Linked DNA regions of Notamacropus eugenii. The protein of the gene in region 1 purifies or fractionates together with the protein of each later gene. This does not show direct contact. Links are inferred from orthologs where the notes say so. Each region holds a gene or a part of one and is shown in the gene's direction. Other genes may lie near its edges.

What was found.
Region 2: the proteins of NDUFAF5 (region 1) and NDUFAF8 purify together in Homo sapiens (affinity purification with mass spectrometry; 3 studies listed by BioGRID and IntAct, counting the BioPlex papers as one, with this or other methods). This does not show direct contact. The link is inferred for Notamacropus eugenii from reciprocal best matches to the Homo sapiens genes NDUFAF5 and NDUFAF8.

Annotation. Positions count from the first base shown.
Region 1 is NC_092872.1:587,947,552-587,963,822, forward strand, and holds the start of NDUFAF5 (arginine-hydroxylase NDUFAF5, mitochondrial), read left to right. Parts: upstream 1-7,874; 5' UTR 7,875-7,979; coding exon 7,980-8,225; intron 8,226-10,981; coding exon 10,982-11,022; intron 11,023-16,271. Other genes in the region: ESF1 homolog, read right to left, coding at 5,784-6,420. UniProt on the Homo sapiens protein: Arginine hydroxylase that mediates hydroxylation of 'Arg-111' of NDUFS7 and is involved in the assembly of mitochondrial NADH:ubiquinone oxidoreductase complex (complex I, MT-ND1) at early stages. May also have methyltransferase activity.
Region 2 is NC_092873.1:324,702,994-324,719,244, forward strand, and holds NDUFAF8 (NADH dehydrogenase [ubiquinone] 1 alpha subcomplex assembly factor 8), read left to right. Parts: upstream 1-10,188; 5' UTR 10,189-10,261; coding exon 10,262-10,345; intron 10,346-10,439; coding exon 10,440-10,550; intron 10,551-13,065; coding exon 13,066-13,086; 3' UTR 13,087-13,424; downstream 13,425-16,251. Other genes in the region: AP-4 complex accessory subunit tepsin, read right to left, coding at 547-721, 1,746-1,949, 3,476-3,547, 3,759-3,837, 4,184-4,251, 5,508-5,601, 5,856-5,947, 6,260-6,332 and 1 more. UniProt on the Homo sapiens protein: Involved in the assembly of mitochondrial NADH:ubiquinone oxidoreductase complex (complex I, MT-ND1). Required to stabilize NDUFAF5.

The DNA of each region.
Region 1 (16,271 bases):
TCAAGTGAGATGAGATTGTATATTATTTTTCTTTTGTATACAAATACTTCAATACTTAAAAGGTGCTATGGACCTATTCACACTCAGGATAGCACTAAATCAGGACTACTAGTCTCCAAGGCAGGAAGGACCCAGGGGCAAGGACTGCTGAATTCCTGAGCAATTCTGAGGTCTATCTATCTGGCAATGTCTCACACCAAAGTAGCGTTATAAGCCGGGGAAAACTCATTTGGGGAGAACTAAAGGAAGGGAGGGATCCACAAAAAAAATTTTTTAATTCTTTATTGTCTATAGGTACAATCATGAGCCCATTCTACTAATTTTTTGTTGTGTTAGATAACATTTGCCCCTTACTTTATGTCTTATTAGCCAAAGTACTTGCATGTGAACCAGATACCGTTTTAGGGGAAGTGCCTGATTCTGAAGGTTTCCTCAGGTGGGAAGAAAAACACTAGTGAACTCATTAAGTGCACTTATTAACATTTTAGGAAGATCTTCTGACACATGTTCAAAGTAGGACAGGCTTTTTGACACCACTGCTAGAGAAAAAGTCTCTATAGTATACTTTACTATAACAGATCTTCCCTCAGATTCATATTCATTTGCAGCCCCTTTTTTAATGTCTTCTTGCTCAATCTTATAGCTTTTCTGATATAGGTCCCTAAATGCATCTCTCTCCTGTCCCTCTAGCTCTCCAACTATTTCTCAAAACTAGCCCTTACAAGCCATGGGAGTGCACATAAACAAAATTTACTTTGAAATCCAACTTCCCTTTACTTTTTAACAGTTATGCCTTCTTTTCGCCAACCTTTACAAAGGTCTCTTTCTCTTCCATTGCAACAGCAGAGGTTCCTTCATAGACTAATTAGTAATCAGTCACTGAAATGTGGGGAAAACAGTCTTCTTAAGCCGCCAAGTATGTTATCATTTTATATCCTCAGACCCAAGCTACTTCTAGTCCATTCTAAACCTCTCTCACACCTATCTTCATGCCAATTTAACACTGGTATCCCCATAAAGAATGGATAGAAATGAAAGAACAATACCTACTAGAAAATATTCACTAAAGGGTTCTAAAAGAACTGTGAAAATTTCAGTTTTTCCTAAATCTAGGGAAGTGGTTTGTGTAACGCAAAAGAAAAAATGTTTTCCATGGATTCAGATTTTTTTATTTCCACTGTAACTAGATTACCAAAAATTCCCAAAATATACTGTCTATATTACTAAAGTTTTACTTTACTGTATTTGTGAAGAAACATGTGTTGCTAAGTTATTACAGTTTTTCCAGCCAGCAACATATGGATATTAATTCATAACGATTTTACAAGCTGATCTGATGTTCCTTGCATTGTCTTGACTACTTAACTATGCTTCATAAAGCAAACAGAAGCCAATGAAAATTAAGTACGGGGGCTGAGAAACCATAACTAAGTAATATGCTGCACAGGAATAAGTCTAGGAATTTCTGCCTTAGATATTTCTATAACATGAACATCCAAATATTAGAAAAGGGGATTTTAAAAATAAATAATAATGACAACACCAGACATTTAAGTTCAGAACTTTAAAGTCTGCCAACTGCTTTTCTTATGTCCTCTCATTTAAGCCTAATCACCACCTTGTGAGGTAGGAACAAGCATCGTCCTTACTTTATCAATGAGGGAGCTCAGGTTCAGAGAGGTTAAGTAATCTCAATGACAACAGAGTCAGTGATTGACTGCAAGAGGGGAAATTGAGTCAAGGCTTTCTGACTCCAAAGGGATATTTTAAAATAAGAACTATAGTGAAAGCCATTAGTAGTAGCTTGGATTATTTATTTTTGGTTTCTGAAAAATTTCACATACACTTTTTAAGGTAGATAAAATTTTGCTACAATGTGAGTATTTTTTCTTATTTTCACCGTTTTAGACTAAACTAAATGGAAAGGAGGCCATTCTAGCATCAAACGCCTTTGGGTCTGTATCTGTAATTCAGACAACCACAGTTTATCTCTGGACAAACATACAGTAAAATTTATCCCAATTTAATTTTTGTGGCTGAACACAAGAATCAGAATAAAACAGGCAAAAGAAAACTCAATTTGTAATTTAAGTTCAAATTCTACTTCTGCTACCAAATATCTTAATCTTTCTAGTTCTGTTTCTTCAACAATAAAAGGGGTGATGAAATTGACCTCTAAGGTCCCTTTCGAATCTCAAACCATATATGATACCATTTAGTTTAAACAGGAAAGCATTAAAGTGAGATATATTCAAGTAGCTACTGAAAGTCACTTGAATGTCAGTTGTGGTTTTGACAAGTCCAAATTGATAAATTGATGTGATTTATGACTCCAGGTCATGTGCCTGAGTCTATTATAATCTTTTACTGAACTTTTCTGATTTTTTGACTGGACTTCTACCTGCTGCTGTTTAGACTTTCTGCTCCACTCCTATGAGTCTTAGGCACCTCACCAGGCCTCTAATGCCTTGGTGAACTGAACTGCATGCAGTGAGGTGGAATCGCAGAATGGTAGAACAAGACAAAGCATTTCTGTCAAGCTTACCCAGCATACCTCCCTCCCAAAATCCAGTAAATGTACCACAATAAAGCGAAATGAGAAAGCCAAGAAAAAGTCAGTAAGTCATTTTTCCAGGTCAGGGAAGCTAAGGTAGATAGCATATGGATATGGGGAATGGGGACCTGGTCAGAAACATGGGCAGCAATGAAGGAAATATTTAGCACCCAGGTATAAAGAGGAAAAGAAAAACCTGATCAGAAAGGTATCCCAGAGGATTTTTGAACTAGTGCTAGGTGCCATCTGGAAGCTACAGGGCACACTGGCCAGGTGTGGATCATGGAGGAGTGGTCATCAGAGAGCATGGGCCCACCCTAGCTGTGTACTGAGCAAGGAACAAGATCCAGAAATGCAGTTGTGTGGCTCTGAGCCCAGGAGAAGAGTGACAACTCAGTTCTAAACTTTAGCCTTAAGCCCTGTACACAGGCCTGCTATAGAGTAACCAGGGCAAGAATGCCAGATCAAAGGGAACCAGCAATTCAATTACTTCAAACCTACATAGCCTCCAAGCAGGATAACAGTGACTGAATCCAACAGCTATCTGCTGTAACTCAACCATACACAAGGCCAACAAATCAAAACCTTGTTAAGGAACTTGCAGAGAACCCAGACCAGGAGGAAAATGAACAGATCTTTTCCTGAACCACACCACTCTGGGAACACTGAAAAACTTGTAGGCCTCCAGTCAGAGATATGAAAGCAATAGAAGGATGTAAGAGGATAGAAGCTCAGGCCAGACATCTCTAAAGTGTGCAAAACCCAGTACTAACACAAAGTTCAAAGTCAAAGAGCAGGCTAAAAGTAAGAGGAAACAAATAAACAAAAAGAACTTATCCATGAAGACCTACTATGGTTACAGGGAAGCTCAAGATACAAACACAGAAGAGAATAACCTGGAAATAGCTATACACAAAGCCTCAAAGAAATGAAAAATGCATTGTGGACAAAAGCCCAACAAAAATTTTTGCAAGAATTTAAAAATGATTTAAAAAACCAAAAGAGAGCTATGGAAGAAAGGTCTGAAAAGAGAATTAGCAGCTTGTTAAAAGAGGATGAAAACCTTACTATACAAAGTGACTTCTTGAAACTCAGAACTGGACAAATGGAAGCTAATGACCCCAAGAAACATCAATCAATGATAAAATAAAATCAAAAGACTGAAATAAAAAAAAGACGTGAAATATCTCATAGGAAAAACTGACCTAGAAAACAAATCAAGGATATATAATCTAAAAACTCACTGGACTACCTGAAAGCAATGACTAAAAAAAAAAAAAAAATCTAGCTATCATTTTTCAAGAAATCGTAAAACTGCCCAGATATCTTAGAACCTGACAACAAAGCAGAAAATGAAAGAAACTACAATGTGAAAATTTCTAGGAACATTATGACTAAAATTCTGAGCTCCTATCAAGGAAAAAAAATTATTACAGACAAGTAACTAAAAAGAAAAAAATTCAAGATGTGCAGAGCCACAGTTAAATCACACAAGATTCAGCAGCCACCACTATAGAGAAGTGAAGAGATGTAATGATATTCCAAAAACTTGATCTAGGATTGCAACCAAGAATAACCTAGCCAGCAAAATGAAGTATAATTCTCTAGGGGGAAAAAGGACTTAAAGAAATACTTGACTTTCAAGCATTACTGATGAAAAGACTAGAGCTAAATAGAAAATTTGACACACAAATACAGGATTCAAGAGAAGCACAAAAAGGTAAATATGAGTAAGAAATCAAAAGGAATTAATAAGCTTAACTGTTTACTTCTTTATATGGAAGGATTATATGTAAATTCTCAGAACTTTATTATCATCACTGGGCTAAAACGGAATCTAATTAGAGAGCCTGAGTGTGGTTCTGTTACATTTAGATGAACTTAAAAGGTGCCCTGGGAGAGGAGGGAAAGAAGCATAAAAGGTGGAAGATATTATTTTATACAAATGAGGCACGCAAGGAAGAGTTGATACAAAAGAACAGGGAATAGTGGGGACTGGACAACACTTGAATCTTAACTGGTTCAAGGAAGGAAGAATATATACCCATACAACTGGGTACAGAAATGTATCTTACCCAACAAAGAAGAGGGAAAGAGGTTAAGGAGAAGGGGAAGGAAGGAATAAGAGGGAGGTCAAAAGCAGTCAGAAGTAAAAGTTACTTTTAAAGGAGTGGAGCCAAGATAGTGCAATAAAGAAGCTTTCGGTCAAGTTCTCCCAAATCTCCCTCTAATAAACTCTATAATAATGCTTCAAATCAAATGCTGGAGTGGCGGAACTAGTGAAATAATTTTCCAGCCCCAGACAATTTAGGAGTTGGTAGAAAAGGCCTGTCTTAGCACGGTGGTGGATGGGCCCAAGGACATGCTTTGGGGTAGCTCCATGGGTGATAGCAGCAATTCCAGCTCTTTCAGCCCACAGACTTTGGCGGTGGCAGGCAGAGGGTTAAACAACTGGTCAAAAGCAGATCCTAGAAGACCCTTTGCTGGTGCTGGAATCAGGACAGCTGCATTGTCCATACAGTTCCAGGTTGTAGTCCCAGGGCCAGAAGAAGCAGTAATACTTGTGGTACAGGAGAGTAGGGGCCCAGGTTATGGTTCAAGAGCAGAGAGGTATGCTTGTTGTCACCAATGGGAAGAGTAGGGACCCTGGTCTCAATTCTAAGACAGAGGCAAGAACTAGCAACTGTGACTGCAGGAGAGGAGAGGGACCTGGTCAGTCTTAAGGCCAGGAGGGATGATAGTACTGGTAGCTACAGGGAAACAAAGTCCCTTTCTGGGTAAAGACCAGTAAACAGATCAGGAGAACTGTGACCCCACCTCTCCTTAGATCATACTGACTTAGAAGTACCAGAAACCTACAGATCCCCAGAGCTAGCTCTGAAAACAATAGGAAGAAAGGCGTGAAGCTTGGAACAAACTATCCCAAGCACAGAACCCAACTTAAATATAAACTTAAAAGTTAAGATATAGGCTGAGAAATGGTCAAATAACAAAAAAAGAAAGTGATCAAAATAAATTACTATGGTGAAAGGGAAAAGTGAAGGCACAAATCTAGAAGACAAGTATATCAAAGCAGCTCCAAACAAAACTTCAAAGAAAAATGTGAACTGAATACATACCACACAAGAATACCTGGAAGAACTCAAAAAATATTTTAAAAATCAAATAAGAGAGGCAAAAGAGATGCTATAGTCAATAAAAACTTTTACAACTTATTTTTGTAACTAACCTGAGTCACATTTCTCTTTCTCTTTAGGAAACTTCACTTTGGAAGATCTCACAATTTTATTATTGTCCAGTTCTGATATTTTTAGTTTTCCTCTGGATGATGGGTCTGCCTTAGAGAGCACGGCATCTTTTTGATTCTTTATGTCTTTATTTTTTGATTCTTTCTCATCCTTTTGCAGATTATTTTGTGCATGCACTTTCTTAACTCTACTTGAATGCTGTGTTTTCCAAATATTTTCATAATCATCTGGCTTTTTCCCAAGTCCAAAGTCTTCCTTTGGCTTAACAGTATTGCTTTTTTCCTTATCCAGTAATTTTTTTGAATCTCCTTTTTTAGTTTTCTGGTTCTTTTTGTTAGTTTTCTTTTTGTTTGATGCTTCACTATCTTTATCTGAGAGATCAGAGTCTGAATCTGATAAGTCATAATAACGTTTCAAATCCTCTGTACTGCTGTGACTTATGGGACGTCCTCTTTTATCCACAGTATATTTCAACTTGAACTTTTTGTCATGGAACATTGCTCGAAATCTCTTATCAATTTTAATTTTTCGGTCCTTTTCTGGCATTTCCCAAAATCTAGGGTCCTGTGTAATTCGCCGAAACCGCTCATCCTTCATAAGATCTTCTTTTGATGCCATTTTTAAACTTCTTTGTTGACCAAAACCTCGAATAGCCTAAAAAACTGAAAAAATGTGACTATAAAGATTTAAGTTTGCTAAACCAAAATTGGTTTCAAGAAAACTTCAGTGAATCTTTTAAGTTACATTTTATATAAAATAAAGCAACATACGATAAAATGGTTTACGTTGTTCTCTACTAAAAAGTGGGTTACACCTACAATATTCATATTTTTAAAATTTTTTAATTTTTAAAAAGCATCCTAGTGGTCAGACCAGGTTTCCCAGTTTTCTGGCTCAGAAAATTGCTACCCTAATTAATCACCCTGCACAAAAGAAAACCTCACAAGGGATGTGGGAACACCTATCTTTTCCAAAGAAATCTGAAGCAATAAAAGTATCACCTAAAAAATAAGTAACAATAAATAACACAACCTCCAATACATCAAAAATAGGAATACAGAGATTTCCACGCCATCATCAAATTTTAGAGCTGAAACCTGCCTAACAACCAGCTTTCTTTTTTTATCCTCAAACTCCTGGTTTCGCTAAAATACTGGGGATAAGCGTAGAAAACTTCTGGGCTCTCCCCAAAAGAGGGTGAGGGGGTGTGGCTGCCATTCTGGTCCGGCACTCTCCCCCACAAGCTCCCAAACTACGTAAGGAGGGTCGAGAGAACGACAAGGGCTGGCCTGCGCAAGGCCAGGGTGCCTCACGAGCCTCGGTGCCGCGTACCGCACCAACCCTTGTGCGACGTTCTATATTACAGCACGTTTTACAGAGGGGAAATTTAGGTCTCAAAAAAACTAATAACACTAAGTGTGCACGTGTATATATTCACACATATGCACAGATACATATGCCCATATATGGTACGTATTTCACTACGTGCCAGGCACTACGCGAAGCGCTTCACAATCGTTATTTCATTTGATCCTCACAACAACCCGGGGGTGGGGGGAGGGGAAGGTATCGTGACAACCCCCATCTCACAGATAAGGACACTGAGAAAAAACGGTTAAACGCTTTTCCCAGGGTCACAAGGTAGGAACTGTCTGAGGGCGGAGGTGCACTCAGATCTCCGTGCTCCAGGGCCAGAGCTCTACCCGTTACGTGTCCGAGCACGGACGCACGGCCGGCACGTGAGCAGTTCCCCTACCTCACGCAGGTGGAGGAAGCCCTCGGCACTCGGAGGGGCCGGCTGCTCCCCCGATGAAGAGGAAGATCGAGGACGGTGGCCACTATCACTTCCTGGCCAGGGTCAGGCTATAGTCAGTAGACTATACCATTCACCTTGGAGAGGTGAATCTCTTACAACTCCGCCACCCGAACTTGGAGCTCTCTCGGCGAGTGTTCTCGCAACATCACATGGAGAAATTCAGGCCCACAATCCTTTGCGTTAAGCTCCGGAGCTACGGCAAGTGATCCAGGTCAAACCCGTAGCTTCGCGTTAAGCGCGCCTGCGGAAGTGTATCTGTAGTACTGCCGCCGCGCATGCGCATGGACGTGCGGGCGACGGTGCGTCGGCGCGTTGACGTGACCGACGGAGGTTGCGCGGAGGTCGAGGGCGGCGAGCTGACATGCTGAGGGCTGCGCGGTTGCCGTGGTGCCGGCGGCTCGTACCGCTGGCGCCTCCCCGCCCGGCGGGCTGTGGTTGTGGCGGTGGCCGGCAGAGCAGATCCCGGGGCACTTCTTCGTGCTTCTCCCCGTTGGGCGGCACCGCCCCCGGCGTCGTGAATGTCTTCGATCGGGCGTTGAAGAGGAAACAGAAGAACTGGGCGGCCCAGCAGCCGGAACACCTGAAGTACGACTACCTGAAGGAAGAGGTGAGTGCATCGTCTCGGGAGGGCGCGAGCGGGGAGGCCCGGCCCCGACACGGATCGCAGCCAACCCCGCTGCCGCTGACCTGAGCCACGAATGGATAAAGGTAAAGTTTCCTCCGGCTGGGGATGCCAGGTACGGAGAACCGGCCTGGACATAGGCACGGAGGCAGGAAGTTAGGCGGCTGCGTTCTGGGACTAAGAGCCAAGTCGACGTACGCATCAAGTCAGTTCCACAGTCAGTCAACAAACGTTTAAGTGCCAGGTTCTATGCCATGTGTTGGAGAACGAAAGAAAGCCCCTTCCCCCGTACGCCCGATTGTATCATAACTCCCCAAATATGTTTAAAGCGTTGTGCTAAGCCCTGGGGATAGAAAGTCCTCAAAGAACTTAAATTTTAATGGAATCATGCCCCAGTTATGGTGCCTTTACTAGTATCTTGCATTTATTTTGCTCTTTAACTCACGATTCTCTTGACAAAAGTAGGTGCGATATCAAACTAATTTTACAGATGTGGAAACTGAGGCTGGGAGAGGTTAATTGAGGTCCCGCTAGGAAGAGCTGACTTGAAACCGCGTCTCAGCACTATCCACTTTAACCTGTCTAAGCTTCATCTTTTAAAAGGAAATAATAATAGTGCATACTCTGCAAAGTGCGATATAAGTGTTATCACTAGCTGTAAGCTTACTCTTCCAGGCCTACTTTATTAATTCAGATATAAATAGTCATCCTTTTTTCATTCAGTTTTATTTTCAATTCCAGTCTCTCCCTTCTCTCACAGCCACCTATCGAGAAGGCAAGAAATACACAACTCTTTCCAAATACAATTTTTAAATACACATAAACTATGAAATCAAAACAACGTTCTGTGTCAAAGAAACGGGTTTTTTCCTCTAAAAGTAAACAAGCCTGTGCTATAAGTAGGTAAAGGGAATCCAGCAACATGGAAAGATTTAGAATACTAAAAAACCCACTGTAAGTTAGGCTGAAAAATGTGAGCAAAACTGTTAAATAATTTAAAACCAGTTTATGTTAAAACACTACATGTTGACTTTATATAAAGAATTTTAGATGCATTCAGTGTTTTTGATACTGCTTAATGGAAGCAGTTGTCATCTTAAAGGAACATAAGAGCTAAAGTTGGAAAGGACCTTAGAGATCATTTAGTCTAGCTTATCCTTTTTGTAGACAAGGAAAATGAGGTGGGGAGGGATGAAGTGATTTGCCAAAAAATACAGGCAGTAAGCAGAAGGGCAGCTGGTGTTGTAGTGGATGGAGCAGGACGACCTTAGTTCGTATTCAGCCTCAGACATTTAACTAGCTGTGTGACTCTGGGCAAGTCACTTAACCCTGTCTGCCTCAGTTTCCTTACATTTGAAATGTGCTGGAGAAGGAAATGGAAAGCCAATCTAGTATCTTTGCCAAGCAAAGCCCAAAAGGAGTCCTGAAGAGTCAGACATGACTGAAAGAATGACTAAGCCACAACAGAAGCAGCAGAGGCTGACTTTGACTTCAAATCCATTTCTCTTCTATGCTTTGGTTAGAGCTTTAGCTGCTAGCAAATGGATAAGATTTTGAGTTTCCCAAATCCCATCACCTTTTATTGTGTTTTCAAACTTACGTTTATTCTAGTATAACGCCCAAACAGTAATCATTCCACCAACGTTAATTGCCTGCTCTGTCCTAAATATTACTCTGAGCCCTTGGGAATGCAGAAATAAAGATCAAATGATTTGTGCTTTCTTGGAGTTTACATCCTGTTTAGGGAGACAACAAGCACATGTAAGGCATACACAAAATAAATAAAAGATAACTTAGTGGGCAGCCACTAGCTCCTACAGTAAAAAAAGTGATTGGGAAAGAAGAACATGTCTCCTTCCTACCTCTAGTCCTAGAATCTAACTTAATTTCAGATTTGTAGAGGCGGGGATCCCAGTGATCTCATTGACTTCCTTAGGTTCCACTCTTATTAACTTCATTTTATAGAGGGAAACTGAGGTGGAAGTTAAGTTTCTTGGCCAGGATCCTGAATATCATGAGGCAGAATTTAAACTCGGGTCTTCCTGACTCCCAAGTTTAGCACTTTATCCCCTGTACCCCCTAGATGCTGATATTCTATCTCCTTCCTGTGTACTTTTTCACAGGCTATCCATGGTCCCTGGAATGCCCTTCTACCTCACCTCTGTCTCTCATAACTCCTAACTGTCTTCAAGGCTCATTTTAAATGTCACCTCCTACAGTAGGAAGTGTTTCCTGATTGCTTGTGCTCTCTTCCCACCCCCACCCCAAAAAGCACTAGTTGTCCCCAGGGCCTGGAATATACTCCTTCCTTACCTCTGCCTCATAGTCTACCTTTTTTCCTTTAAGATACATCTCAGGTACCATCTTTTGCATGAAACCTTTCCTTTTCTCCCCCAACTGCTAGTGTCCTCTCTCCAAAACAGCCTTATCTTTACTTTGTACATGTTTATTTATTCACTTTATGGTTATGCTGAACATGTTTACATATCTGTCTTTTCTTTTAGAATGCAAGTTCCCTGCAAATAGAGCTCATTTCATTCTTTATACTTATATCCCCAAAGACTCTACATTTTTTCTGTAGTAGAATGTAACCTCCTCTAGGACAAGGATTGTTTTTATTTTGTACATTGTATTCCCAGCACCAAATTTTAGGTATGGCACATAGTAGGCACTTAAAAAACTTGAAAAATTGAATTCTTATTAGGAAAACCTGATCATCTTGTCATTGCTTTTTATTTCAGATTGGTGGTCGTGTTGCTGACCGTGTATATGATATAGCCAGGTAAGGTAATGGTCAACTTAACAAAGTATTATTAACTCTGAGGCACAGTCTTGTTTTGATGGTTCTGTCATGTCATATGAGTTCCCTTTCTAGTGATGCAGATTGAAGCTAATCCACACCTTCTCATTTTGTCTACTCTTGTCTATGTCCTTCTAGAATTCCTCCCAATATACTAGAGTTCTTGCTTTCAGTATCTTGGTATTGCTTTGATAAAAAGTGGAGCATGCTATGTGTCTACCACTTTTCCCTTGTGGCATTACATAACAGAATCATAGAATTTTATAGTTGAAAGGGATATTAAAAGTATCTTTAGTGCAGTTTATTACCTGAACAAAGGTATAACAAATGTTCATCTAGTTTTTCACTTGTGTGTATTCCAATATGGGGCAATCGACAAAGCCCATACCTCTAATTAATAAGTATTTACTTATTTCAAGCCTAAACTTAACTCTTTGCCACTTCTACCTATTGCTTCTAGGTCTTCCCTCTGGGGCCAGAAAAAACAAATCTAACCTCTTTCACATTACAGCCCTTCAAACACTTGAAGACAGTTATTATGTCTGCTAAGTTTTCTCTTCTCTAGCCTAAACATCCTTAGTTTCTTCAACCATGTTACATGTATCTCCCGTTCTGAAAAAGGTCTCAGGAGATCCTTTCATCCCCACTCTCATCTTATGTCTCTTCTGCTCTTTGTACTAAACTCTTTGAAAAGGCCATTTGCAATAGATCCCTCCAATTTTTCTCCTCTTATGATTTCTTCTTAACTCCCTACAATAGTTTTCAGTCTTATTCCACTGAAGCCACCCTCTCCAGTTACCCTTGCTCTCTTAGTTGACAAATCCAGTGACCTTTTCTCAGTCCTCATTCTCCTTGACCTCTCAGCAGTCTTTGACACCATTGATCATTTTCTTCGTAATACTCTTTTCTCTCTAGGTTTTCAAGACACTCACTATTCTCTCTTGGTTTTCTTCCTACCTATATGACCACTTCTGTTTCCTTTGCTGGTTCCTCCTCCAAATCATGTCCAGGGTTTTGTCCTGGGTCTTCCTCTCCTTTCCCTGCATATTATTTCGCTTGGTGATCTCATCAGCTCCTGTGGATTTAATTACCATCTCTATGCTGACAATTCTCAAATTTACTTTCTTACTCCAAACTTGCTCCTTCTCTCCAGTCTCACATCTCCACTTGCCTTTTAGACATCTCAAATTAGATATCTAGTAGACATCTTAAACTCAATATGTCCAAAACAGAACTCATCTTTCCCCCTAAACCCTTCACTTTCTACCTTCCCTATTTATTATAGAGGGCAACTGTTGACTTTGCACTGCCCTCTCTTGGTTAAATCCAGTTCACTTGGATGTCATTGCATCACCTCCCTGATAATATGGTCCTCTTTGAGAATGAAGCACAAACAACAACTTCTCTGAGTAGTAGTAGGAGTTGCCTCACTGGGCACCCAACTGGTAATGGCCAGTTGGGCAACACAGCTCCTTTCTTTCTCTTCCTTTCTTCCTTCTTTCCCTCTGTCCACATAAGATACATAGGGTGTCATACCCTTACTTGTGGGTGCTCTGCCCAAAGGACTATAAATTTTGATCTCTGAAACCTAGCAAAATAGCTTGGGGTTCTAGCAGCTAGATTTCTTTCTTAAGTACCATGCCTTTTAAACCCAAATCACTCTGGCTGTCATTGTTTGGCCAACGATAGTTCCTAGGCCAAGCTCCACTTGCTCATTGTTTGGGCCATGATTGACTCAGAGTGAACGTAAATAGCAGTTATTTTTGTTTTGGCCAGAAATCCTGAGGGTCTTCTCTTCCCAGATTTTTTTTTTTAAACTAGGTAACATAGCCCATTCTCTGTTAAATTTCTTACTTAGCCTTAATCACTAAATGTCATTGCCTCAGTCAAAGTGAGACCTATTAAAGGCCTTAGCTTAAAAAGACCAATGTCTCTCACTGCATCCAGAGTATCTTCATTCCTCCTGATCTATATCTTGCCACTGGACCCAGATGGCTCTGGAGGAGAAAGTGAGGGTGATGACTTTGTATGGTCCTTCCTTGCTTAAATCCAATTCACATGCATGTCATGGCATCACCTCCCTGATGTCATGGTCCTCTTCAAGATCAAAGGACAGACAACAACAGAGAGCAACACCATCGTCCCAGTCCCTCAGGTTTGAAACCTAGGCATCATTCTGGATTCCTCACTGTAGCCAAACTCATGCCAAGCAAGGCTTATTGATTTCATCTAAGTAACATTGCTTGAATACTCCCTTCTCTCCTCCGACACTTGCACCACTTTGGTGCAGGTCCTCATCACCTCATGCCTTGTGTATTGCAGTAACCTGCTGGTGGGTCTACCTGATATACCTCCTCACTCCAATCCATTCTTCATTCAGTCACTAATGTGATTTTTCTAAAATGAAGATCTGGCCATGTCACTCCTCTACTCCATCCACTCCATTGACTTCCTATTATAGCCTGCAGGAGCAAATACAAAGTGTTTTATTTGGCATTCAGAGCCCTTCATAAAATTTAACTCCCATCTGTCTTTCCAGTCTTCTTATACCTTTCTCCCTAACATGTATTCTTCTGTCCAGTGACACTGGCTCCTGGTTGTTCCACAGATATGGTACTCCATCTATCAGCTTCAGATATTTTTTCTGGATATTCCATTCCTGGAACAAATATTCTCCTTCCTCTGCTGATTACTGACTTCCATGATTTCCTTTGAGTCCCAACTAAAATCCCAGTGCTCTTAATTCCAGTGCCTTCCGTCTGTTAATTGTTTTCTCTTTATCCTATATGTAGCTTCCTTGTATATATTTCTTTGTATGTTGTCTCCCTTGTTAGATTATGAATTCCTAGAGGGCAGGGTCTGCCTTTTGCTTCTTTGTATCCCCAGCACTTATCACATAGCAGGTGCTTAATAAATGTTTATTGAATGAATCAATAATAGTACTTTATTATAGGAGTCTTTTTCTGTTTGCTCATTCTTCCAGCCTCACTTTCTGAATTGGGACTTTGTCTTAGATCCTGGCTCTCTGCACTTCTGGTGGGAATGTCTGAGTCTTGATTAGTCCCACCAGGTATTCTCTGGGATCCAGCTGCTGCTCTATGGATTAAGTCCTCTGGTTTTGAAGGTGCTAAGAGGTGGCTCTGGATGGATCCCTGAAAGCAAACTTGCCCTGCCCCCTATGAAGTCTGATGTAGAGAACAGTCTGATCACTGCTCTCTTTTCTGAGCTTTGCAAGCTCCTCACCTGGGTTCAGCTCTGGATGATACTAATTAGGCTTGATTTTGGTTGGTTCTCCAGAAGATTGTTGCTACCCTTGGTGCAAGTCTCCTGGTTGGAGCTCCAGTAAGCTGTTGATGCTTCTAGGCACATGTCCCCTCCTTGCTGCACACTGGGATTTAGACTTAGGTCGGGGGTTAAAGTCACCATACTGCCAGTTTACTCATATTACTATTCCTTGAACACGTCAGGCCTGTCCCTGCCTGATCCTAAACAACTCATTGCCCTGATACATGCTCTAGTTACTAATTATTACTCTAGGGCTTAGTATAATCCCTCTACTACAAGGCTCTGCTTCCTTGTCTTCTGACTAGGCTTATCCCTACTCCCCAGAGACTTCTGTCTATCTTCCTATGCTGACCTGAGCTGGAAAAATGATTCTGTGCACCCCATAGATTTCCTAAACAAAGCCAGAAATCCAAAAAAGGATTTCTCTTTCCTGTTATTTCTAGGTCTTTATGGGAATAATTGTAGGTTCTACTGAACTGAATTTTATTCTTTCTTCCTACTCTACCATCTTTACTGGCTTCTCATTTCACAGTTTCTTTATAGTCTTCTTTCTTGTTCTTTTCTGTAGTGATAGTCTGTGCTTCAATTAATTTCCCAATGGTTAGCATCTCCTTTTACTCTCCTATCCTGGTGTTACCAAACTCATAAATGTAAAGAAAAACCTCTTTCCTCAGCCGTAGTTGTCTACTCCCTCATTCCCATCTATCTCAACCTTACCTCCCAGCATCTCCTTTAGTTCTGCCCATCCCTTCCCTTGTGTTCTCTGGAAAATCTGCTCAGTAATTTACAAACTTATTCTCATTTCAGACTCTTCCTTTCTCCTTCTATCTTCTCTCATTTACTGATATTGACTTCTTCCTGATATTACTTATCCCATGGTTGTACTTTCTGGTACTGGCTACACTTTCTCTCATACCTCTCAGTCACTGGGACAGTAAGGAGGTGGCTAGAAAGAGAAACAGTAAATCAGGCACTAAACTCATTGAAGGAGGAGAATGGCTTGAGGACTGATTGATAATGGTCGCCAGGATCTTGAGTGGATGATAAGTCTGTAGATTGAGTGATCGCAGTAGAGGGAAGTTTGGGAGTGGCATTGGGGAGTAAGGAATATTCTACCACCTCTACAGAACTCAAAGCAAAACAGTCCAGATTGACTTTTTTGGCCAAAGCAAACAAACCTATGCAGCTCTTCACTCACCATGATTCTGCTTCATCCAGTTGAATATCATCTCTTTCTATACAGAAGCATCTGACTTTCCCATTTCTACTTTTCCCTCAGACTTGAGAGGGGCAACAGAGAACAGAAGGTATCTGGAGGAGGGTTTACCTCTCTTAACTAATAGGTGGAAATGAAGGGCAGTAGGTGAAATCAAAGCAGCTGAAACCTTATCAGCTGATTGCCCCTGCTGTTTGTCACTTCAGAAAGCTCCAATAGAACTATTTTTGCCCCATTGCTGAGTCTTCTCTCACTTTCCCTTTCTTCAACTTTTGACCTCTAACCATTTCTGGTAACTTAAAACAGAACCTCCTGGTACTGTGGCTCATCTTTCACTTATGGGATAACATCTCAATAAATTTTACCTAAAAAATAAAACTATCCTCAGTCTTCAAATAGTCATATGATTTCTTTTGTTTTTCAGTTTTAATCTCGAAGTCTTAAAAGTTATATGGAAATGATTTAGAGGCCATAATACCCTGCAGTTCTGAGTTTTTTAAAGACCCTCAGCTACATTTTTTGTTATTGAAATTTAGTATCTTCACACATACCATCACTTTATAAAACAGCGTCTGTTTTTTAGTCCATCAGTATTAGCATATACATGAAGTGTCTCCCTCCATATTTTACAAAATGATTTATTTAATCTTTAGAGGTATACCACAATTTGCATTTTCTGTTACAAACTGCTCAAATTCCATCTGAAAATAATAATTCTTTACACACACAC
Region 2 (16,251 bases), on another chromosome or scaffold:
AAATAAAATCTGAGTATTGGACAGAGGAGGAGAATGAAGTCAGACATACACAGTTTATGAGGTAATGTGCTTAAATGGACTGTTTAGGAGTGTGGGTGGTAGGCAGGCAGGGGTAATCACTGGAAAGTAACAGTAATGGGTATGAAGGGGAGTCTAGGCAGGGATTGTCTTCTGTTTCTTCTTCCTATTCTGTTCCTTTAGTGGAAAAATTTGGGACAGGTGGAACTAGAACTAACATCCAATTTCAGGTCCCAGAAGGAAGACACACACAGACACAGACACAGACACAGACACACACAGACCCCTCCCCACTTCCGTGACAAACAAAACAAATCAACATATTGCCCATGTCAGAAAATGTATGCTTCAACTAACTCCTACACTCTAACATCCCTTTGCTGGGGAAAGGGAGATGTGCTTCTGCAGATAGATTTCCACATTTACAAAAATGGCAGTAGCTTAGACTGCTGATCCCCACTGAATAGGACAAACCTGACAAAGACTATCCTGGTATTCCTTCTTCCCAAATCCTCATCCATGACTCACCTTTCTGTTATATCACCCATTTCCCGGCTGGCTCCCGAGTGGCTGTCGCTGTCGGATTTACTGCCAGAGTTGGAGGCTCTGCTGAGTTCCCCATTCTCCTGAGATGAGTTCTGGGAGCCAGGGTCACTGTCCATCTCCTCCCAGCCGCCCCCCGCCTGCCCAGGCTGGTGCCTCACTGCAGAAATGGGGATGTCAGATAAGCCCCACAAAGAGCCTCAGTCCTTCCCAAGTCACCCGCTCCTCAGCTCTATGGGGACTCCATCCATCGGAGACTCCACGGGAGTAGTCATAAAGGGCAGAGCCCCTGAGGAGAAGGGTCTGTGTTGATCTGCTGGATTCAAGTCAATTCAATACAACAAAGATTTATTAAAGCATCTGTTGTGAACAAGGCACTATGCGAGGCACAGAGTAGGGCAGCCGGCTCTGCTCAAAGGCCTAAAGATGCCATGGTTCTATTTGCCAAAGCAGACCAAAGAGGAAGTGTGGCTCAAAAGAAAAGAGGACAGAAAGGCAACTCCGAGGCTAGGCACTGAAGTCCAGGTACTAACTGATACTTTATGCAACCCTCACTCTACACATCACTGACCTTCCAAAGGCAGTCTTCTCATCTCTGTAAATGGGGCTAATGATAGTAACCTTTACAAAAAACAGCTAAAGGAAAAGATTGGGAAGACTTCTGCAAACACATTCTGCAAAGAGCCAAGTGATGAAAACAGTGGAGAGGCACAAGGAGAGGCAGAACTTATCAGGCTAAGAACCTTTGAGATAGGCAATTCCCCAGAGCTCCTCCCTCACCCTGGGCTTCTTAAACTCAGCAATCCACAGTTGCTGCACTAAGCAACAAGTGCTGCACTAACATATGAGATTAGCCACAGCCAGGCCAACATAAAGGGGAACTCAGGGAGAAGATTCTACTTCCTTACCTCCTACTACTTCTTTAGTCTTCCCTGAATTGTGAAGCTATCTCTTTACTCCCTACCCTCACCCCATAGAGTTTTCTACGTTTTAGCTAGGAAAGGCAATGTTCTGTCTTGGATCCTACAATCTTCTGGTCCCAGGAAGGAAGAAAAGTCTACTTGATCACAACCAGTAGCTGAACCTAGATTCTCTTCCTTGGGGTTGTTCTCCCTGAGCCTGCTTATTGATGGGTGGCAAGAAAATCAAATAGGAAGGAGGACCAGCCTCTGTGGGGGTCATACCTCGGATACTCTGGGCAGGCCCAGGTGGTGGTTTCCTGGGAGTAAAGTGACCCTGGATAGCAGAAGGTGCTATTACAGGTTGGTAGGTATCCTCCCTCAGCACCTGGCTCTGGATAATGGGGCTCTCATGCCCAGGGAGCACAGCATTAGCTACCACCTCAGCAGCCTTCTGGATGGTGGTGAGAAGGGCTTCACCAGCAAAGCCTGTGCCAGAGGAGAGAAGAGATTATTACAGTCTGTTCCACATCTCCAAGTTACAGTTTTGACGTGAGAGGAAAGGATGTTGTATGGGCTGTTCTCTGCTTCTGGAGCTCAGAGAACAGACAGACATCACTAAACAGCAGGCCTCAGCAGAATGAGATTCAGGTTTAGGAGGGAACAGAAGACACAGCTGGCAACAAGACAATTCCAGCAGTATACCCTTTCCAGTATAATTGACTATCTCCTGACTCCACAACCTGGCACGCCCAAGCTTCAGGCACATCTGACCACTAGGATAGAAGCAGTATCCCAAACATGCAGTAGGACTGTACTGTTGTGCTCCCTCCAAACACTTAATCCCTATCTCAGAACTCAGGAGTAGCAGCTAAGCTGCCCAAAGAGAAACACACACACACACAGAGTAAGGAATGCAGCAATGTGGACACTAACTTCTAGTTCCTGCTCTGCCTCAAATTAAAGGAATCACTTGAGCATGCTAAGCATCTGTTCCCTCGTCTATAAGGATAAAGCAAGATGATACATATGAAAATACCTTGAAAAGTTAAAGATGTTATACAAATTTAAGGTACTGATATTATTAGTAAAGCATAAATGGGAAAGAAAAAAACAACAGGAAAAGAGGAGCTAGAGAAAGAAGTGAAATTATCTTCCCTGATTAGAATTCCCTCGATGACCAATCCCCTGCAAGTCACAATCTCTTGGTCTCAGCTGCCTGAGGATCTGGAGCAGATGATCCCTAATAACCATTCCAGGGAACATTAGTAGCTGAGGTTTATATAGAACTTTTAATGTTTGTAAACTGCTTCACATATAACATCTCCCTTAATCCCACTGAATCCTACTATCACTATTCCCCACTTTGACAAGGAAGCAGAGGCTCAGTGTTTATGTGGCTTGCCCGTGGTCACCTAGACAGTAAATTTCTGAAGCAGGATTTGAATCCAGGCCTTCCTGCCTCTAGTCTGACCCTCTATCCAGACCCTCTATCCACTATACCATAGCTATCTCTCAACATTCTATGATCCTACCAAAAACAAGGCAAAAGAAATGTGAAACTGGCGAGGGGAAGGAGAGCACAGGTCCATTCAGATTGTCACATATTATTTACTGGAAGTCAACTTTAGGTTTCCTGCCCTCTGGCCAATTGGACCCAGCTCTCAACTTTCCCCAGCTCAGGTCAAGGTCACAGTGCCCATACCCTGAGCATGGCTCTAAAGCTTGGTATCAGTGTTGCTAAGTCCTTATCCTCAAAGTCCTTAGCCATTAGCCCCATAAACTCCACTTCAGGAAAACCAAGATATCCCAGTCCTTTTTTTTCTAACCCAATGCTGATATAGCACTTGAAGTTTTGCAAACAAAGCCTTCTCGATCTTATTTCCTTTGACCAGCTTTCCAGAAAGTCCTCTGCTGACGCAGCCTATGCCATCCTCAGACGGACAGACCAGTAAGAGCAGCAGTAAGAGAACACCTTGAACTAAGAAGACTGGAGTCCCATGGTGAATACTCACCAGAGCTTCCCTTGTCCTTGGTGTAGCCAAAGCCTTGGAGGGTGCTATAGGAACTGGACTGGGATCCCATACCTAGGGAGAAAAATAAAATACCTTGAGCTGGAAGTGAGAAGGGAGAAATTCCACATTCACTGGGCAGAGAAACTCCAGGGGAAGGGAACAGAGAGAGAAGATGAGTTTTTCTCCATTTTGACCCAGCAAGCACTGACTTAAAGGGCCCAGGGATAAAAGGGACTGAAAACTGACTTAAAGAGAAAGGAAGAGAAGGGAGTATCTACTTTACCTGTTGAAGGAAGGGACCTAGGAGACTGGGAGGAAGGCAACGGCAACAAGTTATCAGAAAACAAAGCACTCGCCAAGTCCTAGAAGAGGGATGGAAAGTTGTGTCAGCATCCTGCCCTCTGCACTCAGCAGTCCTGAGAGGGCTCTGCTCTGCGCTCCACCTCCCTCAGCCCCAGCAAGATGCTAAAGGGGTGCGACTAAACAAACAATAAGGAACAGAAATTCTCTCCAAGTCCCAGGATGGTCCATAGCAACATTCTTTGGGTGGGCAAGAAAAGGAAAATGGGAGACTAGCTCTCAGGCACAAGCCCTGCATTCTAAACTCAGGATGCCAATGGGCAAAGGTGTCCACCAAGTACCGCCTAATCCAGAGGGAGGCCTCCTTGTTCAATATTGCTCAGACTTAATGCTAGCTTTAAGACTCACCTGGGCAGCCACTCGGACCTTCTGATATAAGCTGTTTCCATGAAGAGGATCTGGGAGACCACCAAATACTACAAAATAAGGAGGGCAGGAAGTAGAAAAAAACATGAGGCTCTGAACCATTTACTCCCAAATGTATAGAACGATTTCTCCATTCCAGTCCATTTAGAAATGGCTCTCCACACAAGTGCTAGATTACTCCAAAAGCCCAACTTCCCATGTCCCTCAGTTGCTTCCCCAGAGTCGCTGCCTCTTGTCACTCCGTTCCCTTCTCCAGGACTTCTTTCCCTCAAGCACTTGGATGTCTCTCTGTGTTAGCCTCCAGGGACATTTTCCTCAAAGCCTCCGTATCTTGCCCTAAAATGCCACCTTTCTGGTAACATCATGAAGAAGAGATCAAAAGAGAATGAGCTCCCACTGATGAAAGACAGATGTAAGAGAGATGAAAGGACAGACCCTAGGTCTGAAAAGGTTGCAAAATAATGTATTCAATTACTCAAAGAATTCATGGACTTTGGGGGGGGGGTTGGGGGAAGATTTTCAGGAAACAGAGCTAACTTTTAATGCCTGGTTGAAAAGAGGTCCTGATCAAAGGACTAGGTGACTTTTTGCAGGGCCTTGTCATTCCACTCCTTCACTCAGAGCAGCTGGCTGGAGCAGTCAGCAGCAATGATGCCCATCCCTGGGATATATTTCCAAGGACATTCCACGGATTAAGAGCCTTTAAAATTGCTCCAGGGAGATGTTTTCCTTTAACTCCAGTCAATGTTTTTCATTCCCCTCTTCCCATGAGGACAAGCAGAAGTTTAACTAGCTCTGAGTATAGGCAACTAATGTGAAAAGACTGATGGAACCAAGATCAGAAGGCAAGAATTGAAGGCCCAATTCCAGAACCACCTGTTTCTTTGCTCGGAATAAATAAATAAGTTCTCCCTCCCCCCAGCTCCGAGTGGACTTTCCTTTATCAGTAAATGTAAACAGCCACTCAAGGTCTGGAGAATCGTTCAATTTCCCCCTTCAATTGGCTTCTGGAGAACAGTCCTCAAGAGGAGGAGACAGGGCCCAAGCCAGGCTGAGGATGTGGAATCCATGTCCCCTGATGGGAGTTCAGACTTTCTCCATCCTGAAACCAAACCCTTATTGTCTTCTCTCTCACTCTAAGATAGAGATTTCTGTGAATTACAATGTCATTTCCTAATTAATGTTACGAAAGGGTCAAATTCCAAACTAAAACTGATAGGAAAAGGAAACTGAATATTCTAACTGAACTTTTCCCACTTTTCTCTATAATCTCCCAACAGAGATTAGTTCTAAAACTCCCAGATACCTGCTGCTTCCTGGATGAAGGACACATTGCGTTTGAGTGCAAGCAGAAAGGATGAAGAGCCATGGCTACACATGTACAGCAAGATTTTCAGTGCCTGGAAAGAGAAAAGATATCAAGTGAAAGACCACATTGGGTTGCAATGCAGACCTAATGACACATACCCAGGGCCCGGGAAAGCCCCCTGTGCTACCATACCATCCACATACATCTGTGATGTGGATTAACCGTACCACTGTCCTCTTCTTTCTCTTTCTTTTCTTCTGTCTAAATTCTGCCCTGGCTTGTCTTGACTCGACCAGGGCCCTGGGAACCAGCTGAGGGGTCCTACCCTTCCTCTCTCCTGCTTACCTTGAGTTTAACATGGCAGGAGTTGCTCTGTAAACGGTTCAGGAGGTACTCCAACAGACACTGGCTGCTTCCCACTGACTCATGGGAAATTTCTGGGAGGCAATCATGTTAGGGAAAGGACAGACTCCAGATTGCAATGAAGGGAAGGGGAAAATTGAGCCTTCTCACTACAACCTCCTCCTTTTTTTCTATAATAATTTCTTTTGAGGAAAAACTATGATAATTTAGGTTTAGCTGAAGAACCAGCATACAGCCTTATTAGTCTTCCCAATCCAATTACCAAACCACCTCAATGTGCCTCTTAAATAATCCAGTAATCCCTGATAGGTAATCCCATCAAAACCATAGCTCTTTCATGGCCTGTCCCAAAAGCTGCTGTTCTTGTCTTCTTGGGAAAAGGATACTAGCAATCTCTTCAAACAGGTAGCCAGGGCATGGGACATCATCATCAGACGTTCCTTTCATCAGAATTGGGAGCTAGATGAGAACAAGAGAAACCCCCCCCCCCCATCTCCATTGGTAATCTTTTCACACAGGGACATCCCTATATCCATGTTTGTTCTTTAGGTACAGTTCCTTCCATACATGGAAGGTCTTGTCACCCAAGAAAATGTGACCTGGATACTAGCTCTAACAGGATGGTGTTGCTAATGGAGCATTTAGCCCCAAATTTATGTTCATTTCTTTTTTCAATATGCCAGTGAAACAGGTTTGCTGGGGACGCCACTGATAGCTCATAGGGATGGTAGAGTTGAGTGGTAAATAAGAAAAGTTGTTCCAGCATGCAGCTTTCCAAGCAAATAGGAAGATTCCTGTGCTTGGAATGAGGTGGCCCATAGGTCATAGCTTCCCTGGCAATTAAAGAGACATAACTTTAAGGTACCATCATATATCTACTGAGCTAGCAAAAATAAATTAGAATAACAAAGTCTGATATTGGCTGTGTTGTAGGGAAATTGGTGTACTTATTTCTTATTTACCTACATCCATGTTTATATACATTTTCAGTGGCACCCAAGATACAGTTTCAGTTTTTCTGAAGAAAATGTGGTAATATGTCACAAAAGATACAAAAAGGCTTCTATTCTTTGTCCTTTGATCTGGGAATCTATCTTGTAGAACAGATCCCAAGGAAATCATCCAAAGAGGGGAAAAATCTGTTCAAAAATGTTTAGAGTGGTACCACTTACAAGAGTAGAAATAATTCAAACAATACAAGAATGGTGTAATGGCAGATCACATGGTTGGTTGTTGTCCTTCATTCTTAAAGAGGACCAAAATAACATCACCATGATAAAGTGAAGTTTCAGTGTGTTGGACTGTGGCTCAGAATGCTCTACCACAGGTTGGGCACAGATAGTTCGTATGAATATTTGAGGTGGATACTCCAAATCTGCGCATCCTGACACATAACTGGCACTTGAATGGTCTGTAACACTATCTTGACTTTAAAATGACAAAGATATGAAGTATGTAAGATCATGGAAATGTTCAGATGAAATGTTAAGTGAAAAAGGAAACACTACTTAGGATGTACAACTATGTAAAAGCAAGTATGTGTATTATCAAAGATTTGCACAGAATTTGGAATGAGCTAAATAATCTAGGGCTGAGTCATTATTAGGCTTTCCCCCTAATATAAAGTAAGGGATGCCCCAGAAAGACAACAAGGGAGACAGAAGCTTGCTGGCTCACTCTGACTCTCCCTCTAGATTATATTAAGATAGACGCCACTATGCGTCACCAAAATCGTCCACATGGAACTGAAGTTTGGACAAGCCCAACCCTAGGTTTAGTGTGTTAGTTATTTCAACACCCTCCTACGTTTCTGACCTGGCACCTAAATCAATTCTGAAAGCTGGCATCACCCTATACTGGCAGTGACATCACTAGGCATGCTTGACAGGCAGTAGGGACTGAATAATGCCCACTGCCAACAGAAATCATGCGAAGGATCAACTACCGTCAGGTAGTTTACCTCAGAGCTGTAATCCTGCTACAGAAATCACCAATATCTTTCCTTTTAGAAATAATTATGACATTCTGAACAGGAGGGTAATATGAACTTCATTCAAAAAAGTTGTAAAAGAACTCAAAAGAACTTTTAAGTAATTGTGGTAAAACCTGGTTGGTGACCACAGAAGTCAAGGACTGGAAAGGAACAGCGTTGGATCCCACTGCATGTGTGTATTGAGGAAGGAAGTATGAGTAGGAAAGAGGGGAGTGAAGAGAAGCTGTACTAGAAAATTACAAAGGACTTGATGCAAAATGCCATCGACACCCCAAGAAAGAACTATGGAGTCGGAACACAGAATGAAGGACTATTTTCTCTTTTGTTATGTTTTGCTTTTCTCATGGTTTCTCCCATTGGTTTTAATTCTTCTATGCAACATGACTAAAGTGAAAATGTGTTTAATAGGAATGTATATGTAGAGCCCATATAAGATTGCATGCTGTCTTGGGGAGGGAGTAGGGGGAGAAAATCTGGAACTTATGTTAGAAATTGTTGAAAACTGAAAACAAATAAATTAATAAATTTGGGGAAAAAAGAAAATTACAGACCTCTGCTTCTATTTAATAATGTTATGTTCCTGTCATCCCTTCTTTGTCAATTGTCGTGAAATTTCAGAGTGAGTAGCAAGAGTGGACAGCGCCACCAAGGGAAATAAGAGACTGTTAGACTGAAATTGAGGAGAGAAGGAGAAGGAGAAGAGAATGGGAAGGTTCCAGACAGATTTCTTCCTTATCTCAGGCAAGGGGTTCTTAACAGCCCAAGGTCCATGAACTTTAAAAAAATATATGATGATATTTTCAGATATTCTGATAACTATATCTCAACATCATCAGTACAGCAGCAAACCTTGAGAGAGAAGGGGTCAGTTTGCTCAGGGGGCTTGGTAACCTGGCTTCCTTCTAATCCTAGTTAAAAATCCTACCTTCTCCAAGAAACTTTTCCAAGTCCCCTTAATGAAAGTACCTTCCCTCTGAGATTACCACCAACTTATTCTGTATATAACTTTGTTTGCACATAGTTATTCCTAGGCTGTCTCTTCATTAGATTTTAAACTCCTTGAGGGCAAGGGTTGCTCTTTGCCTTTCTTTGGCTTAGCAAAGTATTGGGTGCACAGCAGGCGGGTAATAAATGTTTGTTGACTTGGTAAAGCCCATGAACCTCTTTCTCCAAGTAGTTTTCTGGGTGTGTTCGGTGAAGCCTATGGACCCCCTTGTGAGAATGATGCCTTTAAATACGTAAAATTAAGGAAAGTGGTTATATTGAAATATGGACATCAGAATACTTTAGAAAACAAATGGATCCCAGGCTATTAAGAACCCTGGCTTTATAAAGGACTTAAGGTTGGGGTGCACACACGAAGAGGAGGAAGGAACTGCTCGGAGGAGGTTTCTAAGTCTGGATAAGGGGACCGGAAGACGACACGGATCCCTGAATGGGGAGGGAGGGAACCACCCTTCCAGGAGAGCTGTGGGCATGGCCGAGGAAGGCAGACCCTCGGCAGGAAAGGATCCGGACAGTAGCTCTGCTTGGGTGACTGGGGAGGGGGCTGGGAAGCGAAAGAATAAGAGGACGTGGAGGATCACGGGACCACGGAGCAGGCGCTGAGGGCATTCTGGGGACCTTCTCCCCCAGCCCGCCCATTTTACAGGGGAGGAAAACTGAGGCGCAGAGGTTCTCGGCACGTGCAGCCGGAAAGGGGGGTGGGAAGGGGAGAAGACCTCGGGAGGCCAGGGCTTGCAGACGCAGCCAGAGACGGCCGGAGTGGCAGGAGACGGAGGCCCAGGGAGGCCCCGGGCCCTGCCCGAAGTTCTCCCTCGGAACGGGAGAGCGGGCGACCTCTGCCCGGGTAAATGGCTCGGATCGGAGGCCAGGGCAGTGCAGAGGCCACAGCCCAGGCCTCTTGGGTATCGGCCGGAGTCATAGGTCTGGTCAGCGGGGCTCGGGTGCAGCCTGGTACTCACTCGGTGTAAGAAGCTCAGCCGGTCCCGGAGCTGCGGAGCGGCCATGATCCCCGGACGCCCTCACCAGCCGGCTCCCACTTCCGCCAATCACCGTGCCGGAGCGGGTACTGTAGGCCAATCGCTCGCGGAGGGGAGGAGCCCCGAGGACGTCCTTAATAAACAAATTGATCTCGGACCAATCCGAAGTCGGAGAACGGAAACAGACAAGGGCTATGAACCAATGACAAGGCTCTGAGAGAATCGAGTGAATCCTTCAGGGAAGCGGGTGATGGTGATGACGGGAGGGAAGAGGAGGGGGAAATTATCATTAAACCAATAAGAAGGTTCTCCTAAAGTTAAAGACAGGAGTTCCACCCTATCAGCAGTGAACAGAAGCCGGAAGTAGGAGGATCCAAGATGGCAGCGTCTAAGGGGGAGAGGACAAGCTTCTCATGTCGGGGACCGGAGCTGTGTGGAGCCGAGTTCGAAGCCGGATACAGAGCTTTCCGGAGAGGCTGGCGACCTGTGGGGCCGAGGTGAGAGGGTCTCTTCTGGAAATTCGGGGCCGGAGCGCGGAGGCCCTTCCCCCGTGACCGGGCCTTCCGATCTGTCTCTCTCTCTCCCCTCCAGGCCGCGGCGTATGGGAAGTGCGTCCAGGCCGCCACGGCCCCCGGCGGGGACCTGAGGAAGAACCTTTGCGCCAAGGAGTTTGAGGCCCTGAGGAATTGCTTCCTGGCAGCTGTACGTGCGGCCGCTGGGCCTTGTTACGGCTTCCCTTCCCTCCCATCCCCCTCCCCAGCAGGTTCCGCTCCCTGCCTGGGTGCAGGGCCTAGGAGAAGGGTGGTGGAGACGGTGCCACCTTAGATATTGAAAGGGGACCGTCCCCTGCATGAAGCACGGCACCCCCTAAAAGCCCCCGACCCTTGAAGATGCCTACTACAGAGAACTCACGTAAAACATGCTAGAACCAGGTGCAGCGTATACTTCTGCTGGAGCTGGGCACACGGAGGAGTCCCCACTCCTCGCTCTTGCAGACCCTCCTCTGGATTGTCTCAACCCCCCTCCTCCCCAGACCAGCTCCCATGCCCACGGCTGAATCGTCCCTCCTGGCACTCCTGTGGCACTTACCCTGTTTTGTAGTTATTTCCTCTAACAGTAACATCTTATTAATAGATCGTAGAGCAGAGACTGTTTTTTTGGCGTTTTGTTATCTCTCTTTAACCTTTATGGTGTCCTGAACATAGCTGGTCAGGTTTAGTTTGGAGGGAAGGACTACATTTCCTCCCGTTTTCAAGGAGATTGATGTAAAGGATCATAGAACCGAAGACCTGAGCTAGGAAGAACCTGAAGCACCTTCCACTTCAGTCCTTCTTGTTTTACAAGTGACTGAAACCTAAGGAGGTGAAGTGACTTGTCTGAGTTAGGGTAGTAATACACAGTCAGAGGCAGGATGAGAACCTCTGCACTGCACTGCTTCCAGAGGACCAGCACCTTACCAGTACAGATGACTGGACAAAGCTGTATTCTCTGCACTGCACTGCTTCCAGAGGACCAGCACCTTACCAGTACAGATGACTGGACAAAGCTGTATTGGGGGGAAAGGCTGCTGGAGTCATGAGGCCTAAATTTAGGACTTAGTCGAAGGAATGTGATTCCTTACTGCTGAGTAATCTGCTGTCCATCTCTAGAATGACACAGTTAATGATAGTTTCCAGAATGAATAAACAAATAAGTTAGCATAGCAGTGTAATGGAAAGTAAGTTTGGTTTGTTTTTTTTTCCAGGTCTTGGATTGCTATTAACTCCACTCAAGAAATGGCTTAAAACAGGAGACTCATAAGTGCATATTGACAACCACTTAAAATATGAAACAGTAACCTATAACTCCTGTTAGATTCTCCCAGGAGATTGATACTTAAAATATCAAAACATAAGACATTTTGCAGGATTGCTGAGTAGCAATGTTACATTAACTCCTCATTGCCCAAATGACTCTTTGAATCTGTGTTGTTGGGTAAACACTATAGTGAAGCCTGCATGTTAGATTTTTAATAAAATGGAATGTCCAGTTTTGGATATACAGTCGTGGACATAGTGCATTATGCCTGGGGAATATTTATTTAAATACTAAAGACCTGTAAAAAGTTGCTGTGGTTAAAAATCAAAACCCTGTGGCCAGTTTGAAGTTGAGTCCAAATTGTGATTGTCTTCTAGTAAAGGATACGCAGACTATCACTATCCTGAAAATGAAGCCTTTTAGGTATTAGGATCTGAGTGGACAAGAGATGACTAAAGAGCTATATGATTACGGTGCATGAAAGGTTTTAACAAAGTGATTTTTGGTAGTTACAGCCACAAATGATTAAACTAGAAAGAGTGCTTTTAAACTATATATATAATAGATTTCATTTGAATATAAGGGATACTTTCTTAAACATGAGATGATCAAAAGTATGAATGCTGTACTGAAAGAATTTACGTAGTTCATATCATTGCAATTAAAAAGCAATGTCAAGAGATCCAGACAGCCAGTGCCCTTGTCAAAGGCCACACGCTGCCTCTACTACTGAAGAGCTTAGTTTTTCTCTTCTCCAGTAAATCTATCCTTCATTGATTGTTTTTTCACTATTTCATTATTTCTCTTTCCTGAAAACAGCTTCATTATTTTGGGTTAGCAGTGGGTGGGTTAAGAAGTGGGGAAGGAGGAGAAATGTCATTCTGTCTAGTTACTCAGCACTGGAAAAAGCTTGTGAGAAAGAGAAGGTGAAATCCTCAAGTTCAGAAATGAATTATTTAACCTAATTATTTCCCATTAATGGGAAAAGCTTAACCTAAATATGCCATCCTTGGGAAAATTATCTTTCTGTGCCACCCTAAGTAGTGTTGTGCTTTAATTTTTCCTAGTGTGAATCACTATCCATCCATATTTTAACAGGTTCCCCTTATGACCAAAGACAGATAGATAGGTCAATACAAATAGTTGGGGTCAGGAGTTGTAAGCTGTAGATGTGCTGTAGACCAAAACTAATGAGAATATGAGAGAACAAAATCAGAACCTTTGCTGGGGCACCATAATCAAACTAGGGATTATAGGCAAAGTTGATGAACAGATAGATCCATTTATCTTGTTAGGGCAGGGTGGGCAGTTGGCAAATTCTGCCTCTTCCCAACAGTGCTTGATTTCCTATATTTTCATAACAGAATCATGTTTAATATTAAAGCAGTCAGTTGACTCCACATGCTTTTTATCATTTCAGGCCAAGAAGACCGTGAACTGATGCATTAGGATGGGCTTTGAATCACTGGAATTCACCTTCCATTCAGTGCTAGCCATCAGCATGAAGTCGGATTTTACCTACAGCACCAAGGCAGCAAACACCTGAAGCTCTTAGAAGTGAAACAAGTGTTTCTTTGTTTTAAGGATGTGCTTGTGCACACTTGCACACACTCATACATGTATACATACGTTATGTATATGCACACATACACACATAAAAGCCAAACAGAATTAGCAAGGATGGATGGTGTAAGAGTTATTTTGCAAACTTTGTGTAAATAAAAATTTTGGTTAAAGTGGGACCTAGTTTAATTAAAAATAAAGTCTGAGTTTAAATTAGCTGTATAAGTATATATTGTGGCTTGACTTTTCTGAGACTGAGTACCATGCCCAAAGAAAATTTAACAACCCTCGAGAAGCAAGAACTCTGGTAAGGTTTCCACTCCTGTGTAACGACTTGAAAAACAAGTGAAAACTATTAGCCTTAGCTCTATAAAATAAACTCTAGGTTTTGTGTTTTAAAATTTAAATCTTGGCTGGCAAACATGAACATTTCAACATACAAAAGAAGATTGTATGTGAAATGGAATTTTTTGTTACAGATTTTTAAAGAGCTAAGAACAGTAATAAGACATGAGCAGGGCAGTTTTTGGCCTTCTAAACTTTTTTGTATTTAAAAAAGTTTTCGTGATGATCTTTGCTTCTTTAGGTCCTCATCAACTCTTCCTCCTCCCTCTCCACAACAGAATCTTTTGTAACAAATTTGCATGGTTAAGAAAAACCAATACATGGGCCATAGCTGAAAATGTGTAACTCATTCTGTACATTGATTCCATCACCTATCATTTGCCAAATGGTGGGAAGCATGATTCATCATCTAATGTCATGATTGGTCTTTGCATTAATCAGAGCTCTGTAGTCTTTCAGAGCTGTTTTCCTTTGTATTATTATGGTTGCCTAAATTGTTTTGGTTCTACTTCCATCTGCATCAGTTCATTCAAGTGTTACCAGGTGTCTGATATTTCTTAAGAGTACTACTATCTCCTTTCATTTACAAATAATTATATAGCCATTTACCATTATACTTTTTTGCTGTTAACCAGTTGACTTTAATAAGTCAACCCTAGGGGAAAAATCCCCTCCCCCACCCAAAACACCCATGCTTCCACTTTTGCCTATTAAATTTTCATTTCTTTGCTCACCTCAGATCTAATGGATAGTTGTCTGGCTTTTACGTCCACTAATCTTTGTATCTCCATGAAACGCTGGCCTAACTCAGCCAAGTTAATTCAGTCAGGAAGGGCTGAGCATGAGCAGATGTCTTAGAAAGAAGTAAAGACACGGAAGGATGGAGGACTTGATGTGTCTATATGGATGCTGGGGAAGAAGGGATAGGCCTTCTATACTTCCAACTATATTCCCCTTAAGAATCCTTCTTTCTAAATACTACCCTGTTTCTTCCTAGGGTAAAAGTGGTATTTGCTTTGTTTAGACAAGGTAGTTTTGCTTTAAAATCAGGAGGTAGCTAGGTGGTACAGCAGATAGAGTGCTAAGCCTGGTGTCAGAAAGGGAGTTTGAGTCTGGACCCAGATACTCTGACCTAGGTAAGTCACTTCACTTCTGTCTGCTTCAATTTCCTCAGCTGCAAAATGAAGATAATGGCATCTATCTTCCAGGATTGTCATGAGGATCAAATGTGATCATATTAAGAACTTAGTACATAGCAGGTGCTTAATAAATGTGCATGCCCTTCCCCTTTCCTTCCTTGGTGTGGAGGACTACAGGTATAAAAAGCCCAGCCTATGGCATCTGCACTGAAAAGGTTTAGTTGAGTTCCCTAGAGATTCCTTTCTGACTATTGCCATGTTGAATGCAAAAGTGGAGGATAACTGAGTATAATTGCATTAGTAATTACATCCTTTTTTTAGTATACAATTTTATTGCATTTTATGGTCCACAAGTGTTGTATTGTGCTAATAATAGTAATGGCTAGCATTATATGGCCCTTTACAAATACCTCATTTGATCTTACTGCAGCCCTGAGAGGCAGATACTACTGTGTCTGAAACAAGATTTTCCTGACTCCAGGTCCAGTACTTTAAACTGCCAGCTACCTGTTTCTAATCCCTAATCTGAATCATTGGACTGGCCCAAATGAGGCCTAGCCTAGACCATCTGGCATTTGCCAGCAGGTTTAGATTGAAATACAACGTGGGAAAAGGCTCCTTGGGTGACTGCGTAGCCAAGTATGGGAGCTGCATTTGTGTTAGGCATATTTAGGGAAGGAGGTAGCTTTCACTGACCCTGGTGCGTTAGCCCAGTGGATATTTGAGGACCTTGGTAGGGAGAATAAAAAAGGGAGGATCAGTATTCCCTGGCTTTTGCTGAGAGATAGAGAAAAACTGGATTACCAACCTAAGGAAAATGAAAAACTCACTGCATGGTCATCAATTGGGATGTGAAAGAAAAGATTTTTGGTTTTTAAGGATCATGCCTTCAAGGAGGGGATGGTGTGTAGTTAATGAATTTAGAAATTTCTCAGGTTAAAAAAGGCTAGGCTGAGAGAGTGAAGACTGATAACAGAAAAGCATCGATGAGACTAAAACTAAGAAGGAAGATAATAGGAGCCAAGAACATCCACCAGTAAGAAAGCTTTGTTACAAACTTCCACGATGTTCTCTTCTGGAGAGTTGAAGATGGCTTTCAGGATGGAGGGAATTGAAAGATTATAAGAGAAATGGCAACTGCAAACCGATGATTCATTGGAATGAACTAATGAATATGTGATCTAATGACAAAATTCTTTCAGCAGCAGTTCCTTTGGCTTAGGGAATTTGCAGAGGTTTTCTCTGCAAAGTTAGTACCAAGTCAGCTAAATCAGAAGCCCCAAAGGGCCATAGTTCCAGCATGTTTCTGAGCAGGAGCCTATCACCTGTCTCTCATTTCTAACTAGTATGAGATTTCTTATTATGTCACATGAGGCTCTTCATTGACGGAATGATCTAAGATTTAAATAAATACTAAGGGCCAAAAAGGGCATATGAGATATGAGTTTGCGTGTGTGCGTGTGTGTGTGAAGAGGGGTCTGTGAAAGATACTTCTTTCCTTGTAATGAAAACGAAGGGGGCTAAACTTATTCCAACTCCCCTTATAATAAGCTTCTGTG